3 linked regions of the Oryzias latipes genome follow. The protein of the gene in region 1 interacts with the protein of each later gene in a pairwise test. Links are inferred from orthologs where the notes say so. Each region holds a gene or a part of one and is shown on either strand. Other genes may lie near its edges.

Evidence for each region. The genes of interacting proteins can lie anywhere in the genome.
Region 2: the proteins of c12h9orf16 (region 1) and cep290 interact in binary tests that used the Homo sapiens proteins (3 or more experiments, as listed by UniProt). The two-hybrid records come from large-scale screens. The link is inferred for Oryzias latipes from reciprocal best matches to the Homo sapiens genes BBLN and CEP290.
Region 3: the proteins of c12h9orf16 (region 1) and thap11 interact in a two-hybrid assay, tested with the Homo sapiens proteins (2 studies listed by BioGRID and IntAct). The link is inferred for Oryzias latipes from reciprocal best matches to the Homo sapiens genes BBLN and THAP11.

Annotation. Positions count from the first base shown.
Region 1 is NC_019870.2:12,173,605-12,177,371, reverse strand, and holds c12h9orf16 (UPF0184 protein C9orf16 homolog), read left to right. Parts: upstream 1-1,435; 5' UTR 1,436-1,705; coding exon 1,706-1,784; intron 1,785-2,206; coding exon 2,207-2,481; 3' UTR 2,482-2,740; downstream 2,741-3,767. Other genes in the region: surf2 (surfeit locus protein 2), read right to left, coding at 35-138, 272-423, 652-726. UniProt on the Homo sapiens protein: Essential for intermediate filament organization in intestinal cells, interacts with intermediate filament and regulates intestinal lumen morphology.
Region 2 is NC_019864.2:2,332,850-2,337,795, reverse strand, and holds the start of cep290 (centrosomal protein of 290 kDa), read left to right. Parts: upstream 1-1,980; 5' UTR 1,981-2,090; intron 2,091-2,303; 5' UTR 2,304-2,345; coding exon 2,346-2,450; intron 2,451-4,946. Other genes in the region: tmtc3 (transmembrane and TPR repeat-containing protein 3), read right to left, coding at 617-835, 1,020-1,208. UniProt on the Homo sapiens protein: Involved in early and late steps in cilia formation. Its association with CCP110 is required for inhibition of primary cilia formation by CCP110.
Region 3 is NC_019861.2:21,742,697-21,747,478, forward strand, and holds the start of thap11 (THAP domain-containing protein 11), read left to right. Parts: upstream 1-1,816; 5' UTR 1,817-3,080; coding exon 3,081-3,905; 3' UTR 3,906-4,782. UniProt on the Homo sapiens protein: Transcription factor, which has both transcriptional activation and repression activities. Also modulates chromatin accessibility.

The DNA.
Region 1 (3,767 bases):
ATTCCGAAGTTTAATAATAAAGTGATGCACTAACATTGAGCAAGGGCTTTCTTGAAGCGTTTCCCATTGATGTGGATGAGGACATGGCGTGGCTCCCGGTTCAGATGCCTGAGAGTCAACTTACAGAAAAGCTGATTGCTGGAAGAAAAAAAGACAAGTATCATCAGAGAAGACATTCCAAAATCCAAACTATCCTGTTCCATTGTGTGCACTTTTGATCACTTATTGGCCTAACCCCCAAAAATAATTGACTGACATAGAATGGCCTTACGGTTGTTTTGTGCTGGGAATGATATGTGGTTCATACTGGCTGTAGTTGAACTCAGCTCTAGAGCTCAGTTTCTTATACTTTTTCCCTTCAGTGAAATTCTGCAGCTCAGTCAGGTTGCAAGGAAGTTCATGACCATTCAGAGTGCACTTGATCTGCAAAGAAACATGTAAATGGTTAAAACGAGGCGGTGCTGCTGAGTGTATGACAAATATGAGTGGTTGTATATAAAAAATAATATTACCCCCCTCCCCCCATCGATGCGACCAATTACATTTAAAATTGTTAAACAATGCCATTCCACTTAATTATTAGCACTGTGCTAGCATAAAGTTGTTTGGGTGCACGTGTGTCTCAAATGACGCATGCAAATTGTTGCTAACCTTTTTATTATCTGTAAGCTCAAAAAACGGTTGAGTGACGAGAAAAGCTCTGAGGTCCGCAGGTAAATCCTCCATAGTAGTAACAAGAACAAAATCTTCAAAACAAAGTTCCTGGTAAAAAAAATATTACCCTACTCCACCGGAAGCTACATACACGTGGTCATTTGCGCAAACTCAGTGGGTTAAAATAAGCGCCCCCCACTGGTCAAAACCGGGACCGGTCACATATTTTAAACAGAAACAAATAATAATGATAAATAAATCTAAAAAGAAATAATCTGACGTTTATTTTTTCCAATCTAAAATAATAAGATTATCGGAACCTTACGTTTTAATTTAAAAGAATAGCGGGCAAATCAGTAAGCTGCTGGCAAAAAAATAAGTTTTAAATATAAATCCGACTTCAAGTAATAGACATATTTTTTGTGTGTACTTAAATGGAAAGTAGACAATTAAAATCCGTGTACAACTACACACAGCAAAACTATTCAAACATTTTCTAAAAGTCATGTGAGCTGCGTCAGATGACTGTGACAGTTCAAGCACCAAGATTGTTTGAGTAGAAAGAGGCGTCACTCTTGATATATTCTACAAAATTACAACTGTTGTCTACAAAACTAAGATTCTTTATTTTTTACTAACTACTGTAAATACGATATAAATAAGTAAAAATAAAGTCTAAAACCTTTAATAATAAAAACGATGTGCCATCAAATAGAACTGATTTAAAATTATCATTCATTCAGACAATAAATTGGTAGTGAGTCCTCTTACTATGGACTGATAGAACACAATTTATTTCCTGCACTCAATTGGATCTTAAAACAACGTCTGTCGACAACAGATGTCAGGCTTGCCGAGGAGCTGCTGTTAATAACTATTTAAACCAAAAGTCGATCATCTGAAAATAAATTCAAGATAAGTTTGTAATTCTGATGACCCGATGGTTGCAGATCATCGATGCTAGTTGGTTAACAAGCATCTAGCTAGCAAAAGAACAGCAAAGGAGACGTAATCGGTGTGTTAAAGTAATATTGTTCGTGTCTTCGTCATCATGTCTGGACCAAATGGCGATCCAAATATCTCCACTGACAATGGGATTATTGACGACGAGGACGAATTTGGCGATGAGGGTAATGTTTCCGTTCATTGTGATTTGACTAACTGGTTTATTTACACTACAACACCTGTTTTCTGTCGCCTTCTTTTCATTTTTAATTACAAAATTGCCTAAAGTAACTGTTTACCAAAGTGTAGGGTCATCCTCGTACACATTTATCTTGGTTTGACATTGACTTTTAAATGGATTAGCAGGTGGGAAAAAATAGTGCATTCCAATGTAGGTCAAACCTTATTTAAGAATAGAAGAAATAAAACAAAAACTCCCAACTTTATTTAAAATTGCATAAAAATATGAAAAATGTCACAATTTTTTTTTTATATTTTACTGCAGACATCAAAGCTCTGATTTTTATATTTCTCCTCATTCCAGTCTTTGTTGAATCTCCATGTCTTTCATCAGGCGTTAATGTTGGACTGTTGTGCTCCTTCACAGAGTACGCTGCCATAAACTCCATGCTGGACCAGATCAACTCCTACCTGGATGACCTGGAGGACCGGAACGATGCACTTAATGGAAAACTGCACGAACTGCTGGAGTCGAACCGGCAAGCTCGCCTTGAGTTCAGGGCCCAGATTCTTGAGTCTCAAAACCAAGAGGAGCAGTCCATCCAGGGGGGGGACCAATCTGCAGAGCTGTCAGCTTCTCCGTCCAACAAGGAAGAGCAAAATACAAACAAGGGCTCAGAAATTAATGATAAGAGTGCATAGATCTGCTATTTTTAGTGTGGAAAGACAGAGAAGGTGGCTTCAACTCCTAATCTATGCTGAACAAGCTATCTTTAGTCCATAGCAGTCATGTGCTTCAATGGTTTCCCAGATTACATTCCATCTTTTCCTCTTTGGATGATTTATGACACATTGGTAGTGGTTCCTGGTCAGATTTTTACTGACCTGCATCATTTGCTTTGGAAAAAGCTCCCTGCTTTGTAATTATTGTATGCAAATATAAATAACCCAGATGCTTGTGTACTGTTGTCCTGGATTATGTCATTGTGCTGGTCCAGATTGTGCTATTTAGTTTATTTTTGTCTTATTTCGAGTTAATACCCGAATATGAAATATGTTTTTAAGTACAAAAGATCAAAATAAAATGTCAAAAATAGTCAGATGTCTCATTACAGAATATATCTCTAAAAGAACATGAGAACTAACGTTTTCACCTGAATTTATATCATAAATAATTCCCCGGTTGCTCTAAAACTATCTGGTGTTGATAGAAGCCACAGTCATCTTTCTCCTTCACTTCAACACTAACAATTTATTTATTTTGTACTCCAACATGTGCAGGAACTTCATAAAATAGAACCTGTATTTACGGGACAAAATAAGCCTCAAGTGACTAAGAGGACAAGACATGTCAGTGTGTGAATGTGTGAGTGAATGGGTCTGTGAGTGTAAAGCGCTTTGGGCCTTGTAGGTAGAAAAAGCGCTATATAAGTATACACCATATACCATGTAAAAAAAATACACTTTCCTGCCCAATTTCTGTATTTGATTAGTAAGATGACATCTGTTTACATGTTTTCTGATCAGCAATGACTGAACCTCTGAATATAAATGTGTTTTACAGCTGACGGTTGACAATGAACCTTCATGCAGATCCATCTGAGGATCAGAGCTCACCTAAGGCTTTTTCACACACAGACATAGCTCTAGATTAGGGGTCTGCAACTTTCAAAACTTCAATTCTCACTGGCCACAAAGTCCTTGTTCACCCTTTAGATTAAGAAGACACCAATTGGCATTTATATTATGCTTTTACATTTAAATTAACTATTTTTGTCCCCATCAATATAAACAAAGAAAAAACAGCCTCTTTTCTAAATGAGGAAATAGATAACTTTTGACAGCGGTTTACACGACTTCCTTTCAAAATAAAAGACACCCAGCACCATTTAAGACCATCTCAAGGCAGAAAATGTAGTAGTCGGTAGATTAATGTCAGTAAAATCAGCATACCAAATACACCATTTATGGTGCATCTCAGCCAAAAA
Region 2 (4,946 bases), on another chromosome or scaffold:
TGGCTTCCAACTGGTTAACAGCCAACTTTGGAACATAACTTCTGCAATAAATAAGAGAACATTGTAATCTAAAAAAACCATTTGTAATGACTAATCTCATTGTGGAATGCTTATATAAAGCGTGATCACCGCTCACAAAGGAAAGGAGGGCGCATTGGTTGAAGATAGAATGCCATGACAGACAGGGTTTAACACACAGGTTTACTGTCAGAGCGTTAATAAAATAAGTCGTCAGCACGAGATAGTTAACTCAACAACAAAACAAGTGAGTAGATGTTAACGGAGCCCCACGTGTTATAAATATTTATAGTGTATGCTCTATTTCTAAGTATGACTTTGCAATAGTGGCTCTTGCACCAAAACTCTCCAGTGATTTCATTGTTTGATGAAGACTTGGAATTTGCCAGGTCTGCCTAAATTTAACCAACAATGAAGCTCAACACGGGTCATTCAGATGCTGCCAGAAACAACAGTTTTTCACAGATTCATCTTCAGACAATACGTCGACAAACCAAAACGCAAAATTATTACACAGTAGGAGACTTAAACCCCATTTCAGACAACTTTAAAAGCTATTGCAGAAACAAATATTTTTGAAACCTTAAGAAAGACTTACAGCCTCCGTGTGGATGGGGTGAACAGCAAACAGCAAAGCCGCCACCAAACCGGAGGTCTTGTCCAGGAACAGTCGGCAAACACGCAGGAAGAGAACGCACACAGCAGCGTGTAAAATGATATTGAGCAGGTGGTAGGAAGCTGCACTGAGCTCACTGAAGAGGTAGTTCAGTCGGAATGTGAGTACTGTCAGGGGTCTGTAAGACTTGTGGCTTCGCTCCTGCAACGGGACACAGGTGGCAATGACTGTCAGATGAAAGTTTACCTTTTTTCATTTAAACTCAAACATGGTGGAAAGGAGTTCCTATTCTTGGTTTCATATAACAGAGCAGAACAATACAAACATCAAGGATAGCGTGTATTTGCGCAACATGATTAAAAGGGCATTAAAATGTAGTCATTACCTCAGTCATAGGTGTTCCCCAAAAGTCATTAAGAAAAAGGTTGTGAAGAGGGGTTGCGGGCCGGAGGTCCTTGTTGTCCAGGATGGCAGAGACATCATCAAACACAAACCCACATGACAGACTGTTCCAGTAGCATCCCGCCACCAGTCCAGTCAAAAGAACAATCTCCTTCCACGACACGAAAGCCATTTCTGACAAAAGCCGTCATTGATCACTGCAAAGGAGAGCAAACGGGACTGATCATTTATGGGGAATTAATAAACCATTATGGAAACCGCTTAATTTAAATGCGGGTCAAACTAAGCGACCAAAGGTTACTAGATGTCAAAGTGCAGCTGCTGCAGTGCAACCTGTTCAAATTTAACTCTAAACTAAACAATTTACTTACCAAGCAAAACACCCCGGTTTCTACCCCTTTTAATATATGCAACTGAATAACAACAACGCCGTTAATAATTCAAGAACCCCCCAAAATAATAAACAACTACTAGTACTTTCTGGTTCTGCTAGACACACAGTAGTCCAGGTGACATAAGGGAAACGTTGCATGTGAAGCAAGCGAAACAAATGAAACCCATTTTGCTATCAATATTTAATAGCAATGTTTATCATAAACACTGACAAACAAAGAAGATAAAACAATCTGCTGTAACTTGTCATAAGAGTAGATACTTCCACAGACAGGTAGCTAAGGCTAACTAGCTTGATTCCAGGCTGCGTTCGAAAGCATCTGCGTGCATTTCAATGTTACTGCAAAACACTCCGATTTGTGTCACCTAGCTTACACCAGAGCAGACGACAGCATCAGCAAACCCCACACAAAACACTGAGATATCCCAGAACAGAAGAGCAGGATTAATCCAAATGTAGCTGTGAGTACCTGCTAGCGTAGCTGAATCCCAACTACCTCTTCTTCCGGTTCAAAGGTGAACGCGCACGTTCAAAACTAGCCGAAGGCGGCTAGAGGGAATTTGACAAGGTTTTATCGTAGTCTTGTTTAGACCACAAATTATTTGTTTGACTAGGGCAAGTTTAGGGATAATGTCGAATATTCCGTTTACACGCAATGCGGTAATTTTATTCTCTTCTATTATTATACTTTAATGGTAACTAGCTTTTATTTTTTTAGACTAGCTGTTGTTAGCGGTAACCTAGCAGCCAGACCTCAGGAAGATTGTTGTGCAGCTTCAATAATCAGTCTGTGACCCATAATATACATGACGTTTCCAATGCGTTTATTTGAAGACTGATTTTTGACGTTAAATATTTTCTTCTTCTTGGCAGTTTTCTCCCTGAGTACCACTACTAGCTACGAACGGTCAAAAAATGCCAACCGTTCTCGACTGGAATAAGGTTTCAGGGATTGACCCAGGAATCCTCCTTGAATGTAAAAATAACAAAGTGGACGAGGTCGTCGGCATGCTTATTTCGGTAAACTTTCATGCACTGTCTCTGATAGTCCTGCCACAGCTTACTTCGGAAGAAAATTGCACCTTAAGTGGGCTATTTTTTACCATAATTCAAAAAGGGTTAATCTAATTTAGAAGTGATTTAAATAAACCGCCTGTTGAGGTCAAAGTGCATTCAAAATGACTTTAAAAATGCAGCTTAAGAAAAACAAATTACCCCACCCACCCAATTTGATGTTTTGCCCCTTTACCAAGAGCAGCATTGTAGTGACTGGTTAATGTGAAGAGTATCTCTTAACAGTTAATTCTGCATAAAGTTGATTTCATACATGGTTATTTAAACTTAAACATGCTTTAAAAGCCTTTATATCTTCAGAGGGTCAGCTACACTCATTACTACATTCTCTACATGTTCTGTTTTTTTGTTGTTCACTATTCCTTTCATCTTTTACCTCAACCTCCTGAACAACAACATGACAAATATTATTACTTAATATACATGTTTTACCTGATATTTGGGAAAGTAATCATTTCTGTTTGTAAAATTTCCTCAAATGTCCTGTCAAGAGTAATGAGGAGCTGTGAAGATTTGGACTTGCAGTTTCCATGTAGCTCATTTTTAAATTTTTAATCATTTATTTACCTTGTGACGGCACGGTGGTGCAGTGGTTAGCCTCCGGCAGCCACGTATATAAACAGATTAGAAGATAAATGAATATTTACCTTCTGTCTTTTGAAGTTTTTGGATCATATTTTAGCCAAACCTAAAATGTGCGTTTTAACTTGCTCCCTTGAAGCCAGTCACCACTGGGTGTTTTCAAAAGCCTGCTAGAGTCTGTCCTGTCTTTTGGAGTTTTATGTTCTTGTGTGTCTGTGTTTTTTCTATTTGGGATTTAATTTTACAAAATTAGAAGAAATTGTGAGTTCTTACATTAAGAATCAGGTAAAATGTTTTTTTTTTTCTTTTGTCTGAAAACAAATAGTTTTAAAAGAAAGTTGAGGTCCCACTCCAATCTACTTTTGATCTATTATAAAAGCATTGCCAGTAGTCTTAATTATAATTATGCTGTTTTTAGGCAAAATAAAAACTGTGTTGTTTTCAAGGACATAGTTTCTACAGAGTGGCAGGAGTTCATCAGAGGTTTATCCCTGAGTTGTGGGCAGGACTATTGGGGCAGAGTTTGCCTGCACTGATATTCCATTAATCCTTTGTTGACACTCTCTCCTGCTAGCTTACAGCCCCTCACAACCAAAGGCTAACATTAGCAGTGCAACAAAAATGATCACTAATATTGGAGCTATTAATTAACTGGAGAATTAAATCAATGGCTCTATTTGTCTTCAAGTTGATACATCAGAATGTGGTGGAGCAGGGAGCTTGTTGCCTGCTTTTTGTCTCTGGATGCTGTGGGACTGTCTTGGCTGAGATGTCTCTGAAGCATCACGTGGCAGTCGTGGACTGTACCAGTGGACTGGCAGACTTGGGTGGGGGTTCCCTTTTTTCAAGAAGTGGGTGTGTTTCAACTACTGGGGAATCACTCTCCTCAACCTCCCTGGAAAAGTCTATGACAGCCTACATGAAAGGAGAATCCTTCCAATAGTCAAACCTTAGTTCCAGGCACAACAGTGTGGTTTCTAGCCTGGTTGTGGAACAATGGACCAGCTCTACACCCTCCATAGGACGCTGAAGGGTTCATGGGAGTTTACTCATTCAGTCTATATGTGTTTTGTGGATCCGGAAAATGCATTTGACAGTGTCTCCTGTGGTAACGTAACGGATGCTCTGTGAGTATGGAGTTAGAGGATTCTTCCTGAGGGATATCTGGTCTTCTATGACCGTAGTAGGACCTTGGTTTGCATAGCCGGCAGTAAGTCGGACCTGTTCCTAGTTCATGTTGGACTCCGACTGCCCTCTTTCACTGGTTCTGTTTATAATCAATAGAATTTCTCGGCTCAGGCAGGGGCCAGAGAAGGTCTGGATTGGGGACCACATGATTTCCTCTCAGCTCTTTGCAGATGATGCAGGCCTGTTGGCTTCATGGAGCCCAGACCTCCAGCATGTGTTTGGGTGATTTGGGGGTGAGTGTGAAGCAGCTGGGAGGAAGGTCAGCACTGCTAAGTCTGGCCATGGTTCTTTATCTGAGAAAGGTAGTTTGTCCTCTTTGGGTGGGTGGAGTGCTTTTGTCCCAGATGGAGGAGTTGACGTATAGTGGGGTCTTGTTCATGAGTGAGAGAAGATCGGAGTATGAGATGGAAAGGCAGATTGGAGAAGTGTCTGCTGTTAAGCAGTTGCTCTCTCTGTCCCATTGACTGAGAACTGGACTGAGTAAACCCTCCCCTCTTGCGTTCCAAACAGCAAGTTACTGTGGTCTCCAAGAAGCCAAAATCCCATAGACTTCTATGAGAAATAAACAGCTAAAACTCTGTAGGTTTATTTGACAAAATAACTATTCTTTCTCTTCTCCTTGTTTTTAACATGTTCTTAATAATCCTTATTTTTTAAAATGATATTTTCATA
Region 3 (4,782 bases), on another chromosome or scaffold:
TAACTCCAGGAGCAGCCAATCAGAAGCCGCGAACAGAAGCAGGACAGAGGAAACCGGAAACATTGAAAACTACTGCAGCATTCGCTCTCAACCTTTATTAAACTAAACACATTCTTTTTGAATTAAAACTTATTGAAGAAGGAATACGTTATTTTTATTTCAATAGACAATGAAACTTTATAGTAAAAAAAGGTAGTATAGTTCCATTTATGTGTTAGTTTTTATGTGCTAATTTTTAAAGCTCTTTTATATAAAATTTAAAAATTTATAAACATCTTATTTAGGTTCCTTTTAAACGGTTCAGAGATGAGCAATGTAATAAACTTCATTGTGAATAGATAATTTTAGAAATGTAATAAATGATCAGATTAATCAACTTTTGCACAGTTTTTTTCAAAGTATCAATGAAAAGTGGATATTCTATTAAAAACAAATATTTCATATACATTTATTTAGGGGATATAAGTGTCATTTAGCATTTCTCAAAAGATTTTTCACTTCAAGATTTGTCTTTATGTTTTCAAAATATCTGTAGGGATTCACCTTTAAAAGTACACCTATTGGAGATTTTAATTGTGGATGCTGAAAGGTTTTCTGAAAGAAGACTAAGTCCAGATGCCATGACATAACCTCAAGACGTTAACCTGGATGAAGGAGTCTTTCGCCAATTCTGCTTCCTGGAAATGCCTTTTCTAAGTTTATAAATAGCTCACCTGGAACTCTAGTGCTTTTAGCTTTGTACACTCCACCAACTTGTGCACTGAGAGCAGTTTTGTAAAATGTAATCAAAAAGACGAAGACAGAAGAGAAAATAGCAAAGTGCATACTTTTATGTATAAGATTTATTTAATTGTTAGCAGAATTATGTGTGGACAGTAACAGAAAATACAAGACTACAGTTTATATATTGAGAGTACTACTTTAACCATTCTTGCTACATCCATTTGAAAGTTTGTTATTTGTCTAAATGCCCCCACTTGTTTTTGACGTAGCTGATCTGTCTTGATTAGTAAGTACTAGTTAATTACTTTGTGACACATCTAATGATACCAGTTAAAACTATACAGACACTTAATCTGATTTTGACCTCAGTGTAAAGATCAGCCACACTGTATATATGTCTGTATTGATGTTGTGAGAATGATAATTGCAAAAGAAGTAGTTTTTTGAGAGCTGGCTTTATGCAAAGGTCCAAAGTTTGAGTGTGTACTTGTCGAAAGGCATGAATATCGTTTGTCTTGAACTAAAAAACTAGCAAAAAACAAATAACCTTTCAAAGGCCGTTTGATGAGTGAAAACAATAGAAATTTTTAAATAATCCAGAAGATTTAGGTAAAAAAAGATAAGAAAATTTTTCATATATTAAAAATATAAAAAATTGATTAAATCATAGCTATAATAACTAGATGTGTTACTAATAAAGAACTTAAATGTACTCAGTAACTTAAACATAAATATGTGTGCATATAAGGAAAAGCCCTGAAACAAAGCAAGCAAATAAATAAATGGACAATATGAATCAGCTTACTTTTTTTTTTATTGATGCAGAACAAAAGTGACATACAGCAAAAGAACAAGGAACAATAAACTGTACATCAAATGTTTAAAATAAACGGCAGGGGATATACAGGCAAGAAAATAAAATTATATTAAATTATACAGCTGAGCAAGGTGATACGTTTTAACAGTTTTTTTGTTTGTACTGGGGGAAATGGAAAGTAAGTAAGTTTTATTTATTTTATTTTTTTATTTAACCAGGAAAGTCCCATTGAGATTAAAAACCTCTTTTGCAAGGGAGTCCTGGCCAAGAGGCAGCACAAAGTTACAAACACAGACAACAAATAAAATTACATTCAATTATAAAAACAGTTACATTTAAAGGAGTTGACCTCAAGTGCTCTCAGTCTGGTTTTAAAATCATTTAAAAAGATAAGATCAGGGAGCTTCCAGTTTTTTTGCAGTGTGTTCCATGACGTGGGAGCAGCGTGAGAAAAAGATCTTTTTCCCAGTTCTGTGCGGACAAATGGAACATTGAGCAACAGTTGATCATTTGAACGCAATGAATATGAATCAACATTTCTCCTCTGTAGTAAATCTCCAATGTAGGAGGGAAGCAGTCCAAGCATGGCCTTGTAAATAAAAATGTACCAGTGTCCTTGCCTTCTTGTGGACAGAGATGACCACCCCACACGAGAGTACAGTTCACAGTGATGTGTTAATGCTCTACAATTGGTGATAAACCTCAGAGCAGCATGATACACAGAGTCTAATCTATAAAGACAATGATTTGAAGCATTCATGTACAAAAGGTCCCCGTAGTCTAAAACAGATAGAAATGTTGCTGTCACAAGTCTTTTTTTACTTTGAAAGAGAAGCAAAGCTTATTTCTAAAAAGAAAACCCAATTTCAGTTTTAGTTTCTTCACAACATTTTCAATGTGGGGCTTGAATGTCAAGGAGTCATCAAGTAAGACCCCAAGGTATTTGTACTCATGTACTTGCTCTATAAGTAACATCTAACTTGGGCTAGTAAATCAAGAAAATTAGGAGATTTATTGCTGAATTTAGATTTGTGAATATAAAACTTGGTTAATAAAATCATAAGATTTATCAAATAAAATTGAGATAAAAATGTCTTATAATTAACTTGCAGGACAAGTAAGAATCGCCCCTCGGACGTTCATCCGTCCGACAGGGGGCGCCATATTTATGTGGGGCTCAAAATTGGAAGCGCAAAGCAATCTGGTACTTGTAGTTTACATAGTGGGGTGGTCGGATTGATAACGCGCCGCAGAACAAAACAAGACGACGCTCTTGAATATAAAGTTTAAACGTTGAAATCGTCGTGAGAAATAGTTTTGCCACGTGCAAGTTTGGATCAAATCGGCTGGAGTAAGTCCTCAAACTCGGAGAGCAGCTCACTTTTAGTGAAAATAAACAGGAAGTTGATAGCGTTGTGGGACGTGTAGTTTTGTGTGCAGGCCGTGGCGCTTGATAGCAAGGCATCGGAAAAAAAGCACCAATTAAATAATCCAAGCATCATTTAACCATCGTGTTTTAAGCATCGACTTTGAATAAACGATGCCCGGGTTCACGTGCTGTGTGCCTGGCTGCTACAACAACTCGCACCGGGACCGGGAGCTGCGCTTCTACACATTTCCAAAGGACACCACGCTAAGAGAGCAGTGGCTGAGGAATATTTCCCGGGCCGGGGTCAGCGGCTGCTTCAGCACCTTTCAGCCCACCACAGGACACCGAGTCTGCAGTGTGCATTTCGCCGGAGGGCGGAAGACCTACTCCGTTCGAGTGCCGTCCCTGTTTCCCCTGCGTGGAGTGAATGAACGCAGGTGTCGGCGGGGCAGAGGGAGAAAGGTTTACGCTGCAGTCCTCGCCCCCGCCGCCGCAGCGACCTCTGGGATTGTGGCCACTAGCGTGCTTGGGAACACGGCCGGAGGAGCCGAGGGCAGCATTGGAGGCGAGGCGGGCGACGACAGCATTACCGTGGTTCAAATAGGCCAGAACGGGGAGTACCTGGGCACCGCGCGGCTACCGGCTCAGTCAGAGGCGACTTGTTACTCCGCGCCATGCGGCAGCGCGGATGAACTGAGAAGCGACGAGTACTCGTTGGAAACCGGCACTAACCAGCCCACAGTGCATTACGTGAGTGTGACCAGCAGCCCTCTGGACCACTCGTACTCCCTGACGACTGGAACCACGTCAGCCGAACTACTGCGGAAACTGAACGAGCAGCGGGACATCATCGCGCTGATGGAGGTGAAGATGAAGGAGATGAAGGCGACCATCCGCCAGCTCCGGGTCACCGAGGCCAAGCTGCAGGAGGAGGTGCGGGAGCGGGACCGGCTGCTCGGCCACTCACCACCTGTTGGTTTCAGAAAGAAAATGTAACTCTCCTGAACAAACCTGGAGACCACCCTAACAGGGACAAGGAGATGAATGAAGCATGGCCGCCTGAAACCAGACTCTCATGAACTTTACGCCAAGTCTGACGTGAAGGATGGGATGGTTTATGTAGATAATAGTAATTAAATAACTGCTAATCACATAAACACACTGTTGGGGCTCAACAACGTAAGATTGTTATTCCTTCTTTAAAGAAGGCTCACTTCAACTGACCATCTTAGGGTGTTTAACTCTTGATAAGAAAGAAAAGAAAAAAATCCCTTTATTGTTAAACTTTTACGTTTTTTTTCACTTTGTATTTCTTAATTTAGTTCATTGTTTTCCAGAGAAAAATTAAAGGGCAAAGTTGCAAAATGCAGTAAGTAGGACTGAATGAAAACATTTCCCACACATTAACTTTTCATTTTAATCATTAAATGTGAATCTGATTGTACCGGAGTCCAGTGTAAGCACCGGATATGTTTTCACCCCCTATATTCTTTTTCAACAAAAGAAGTTTACCAAACTCATTCAAACTGCAGACTCGGCTGTCAAATAAGATGTTCCATAAAAATATGGATTCTGTTGCATTTGTTTAAGTTTTTTCCCCTAATAGGTAATTTAGTTAAAATATCTTTCTTAATATCTTGATATACATAATTCAACTTTAGTGTTTGTGTGTCGAGGTTGTTTCGATGAACCAGGTCCTGCTTAATCTGTGATTCTGTATGTGCCTATTTGTAGTCAGACATGAATTTGTGTTTATTGGCTGCATCTATTCATGGATGTTTTATGTACAGGATGTTTGGCACATTTCAGATGTTTTAGTCTATGGCGAGCTATGACAAAACCTCACCTTGAAACATTGTGCTAAAACGTTCAG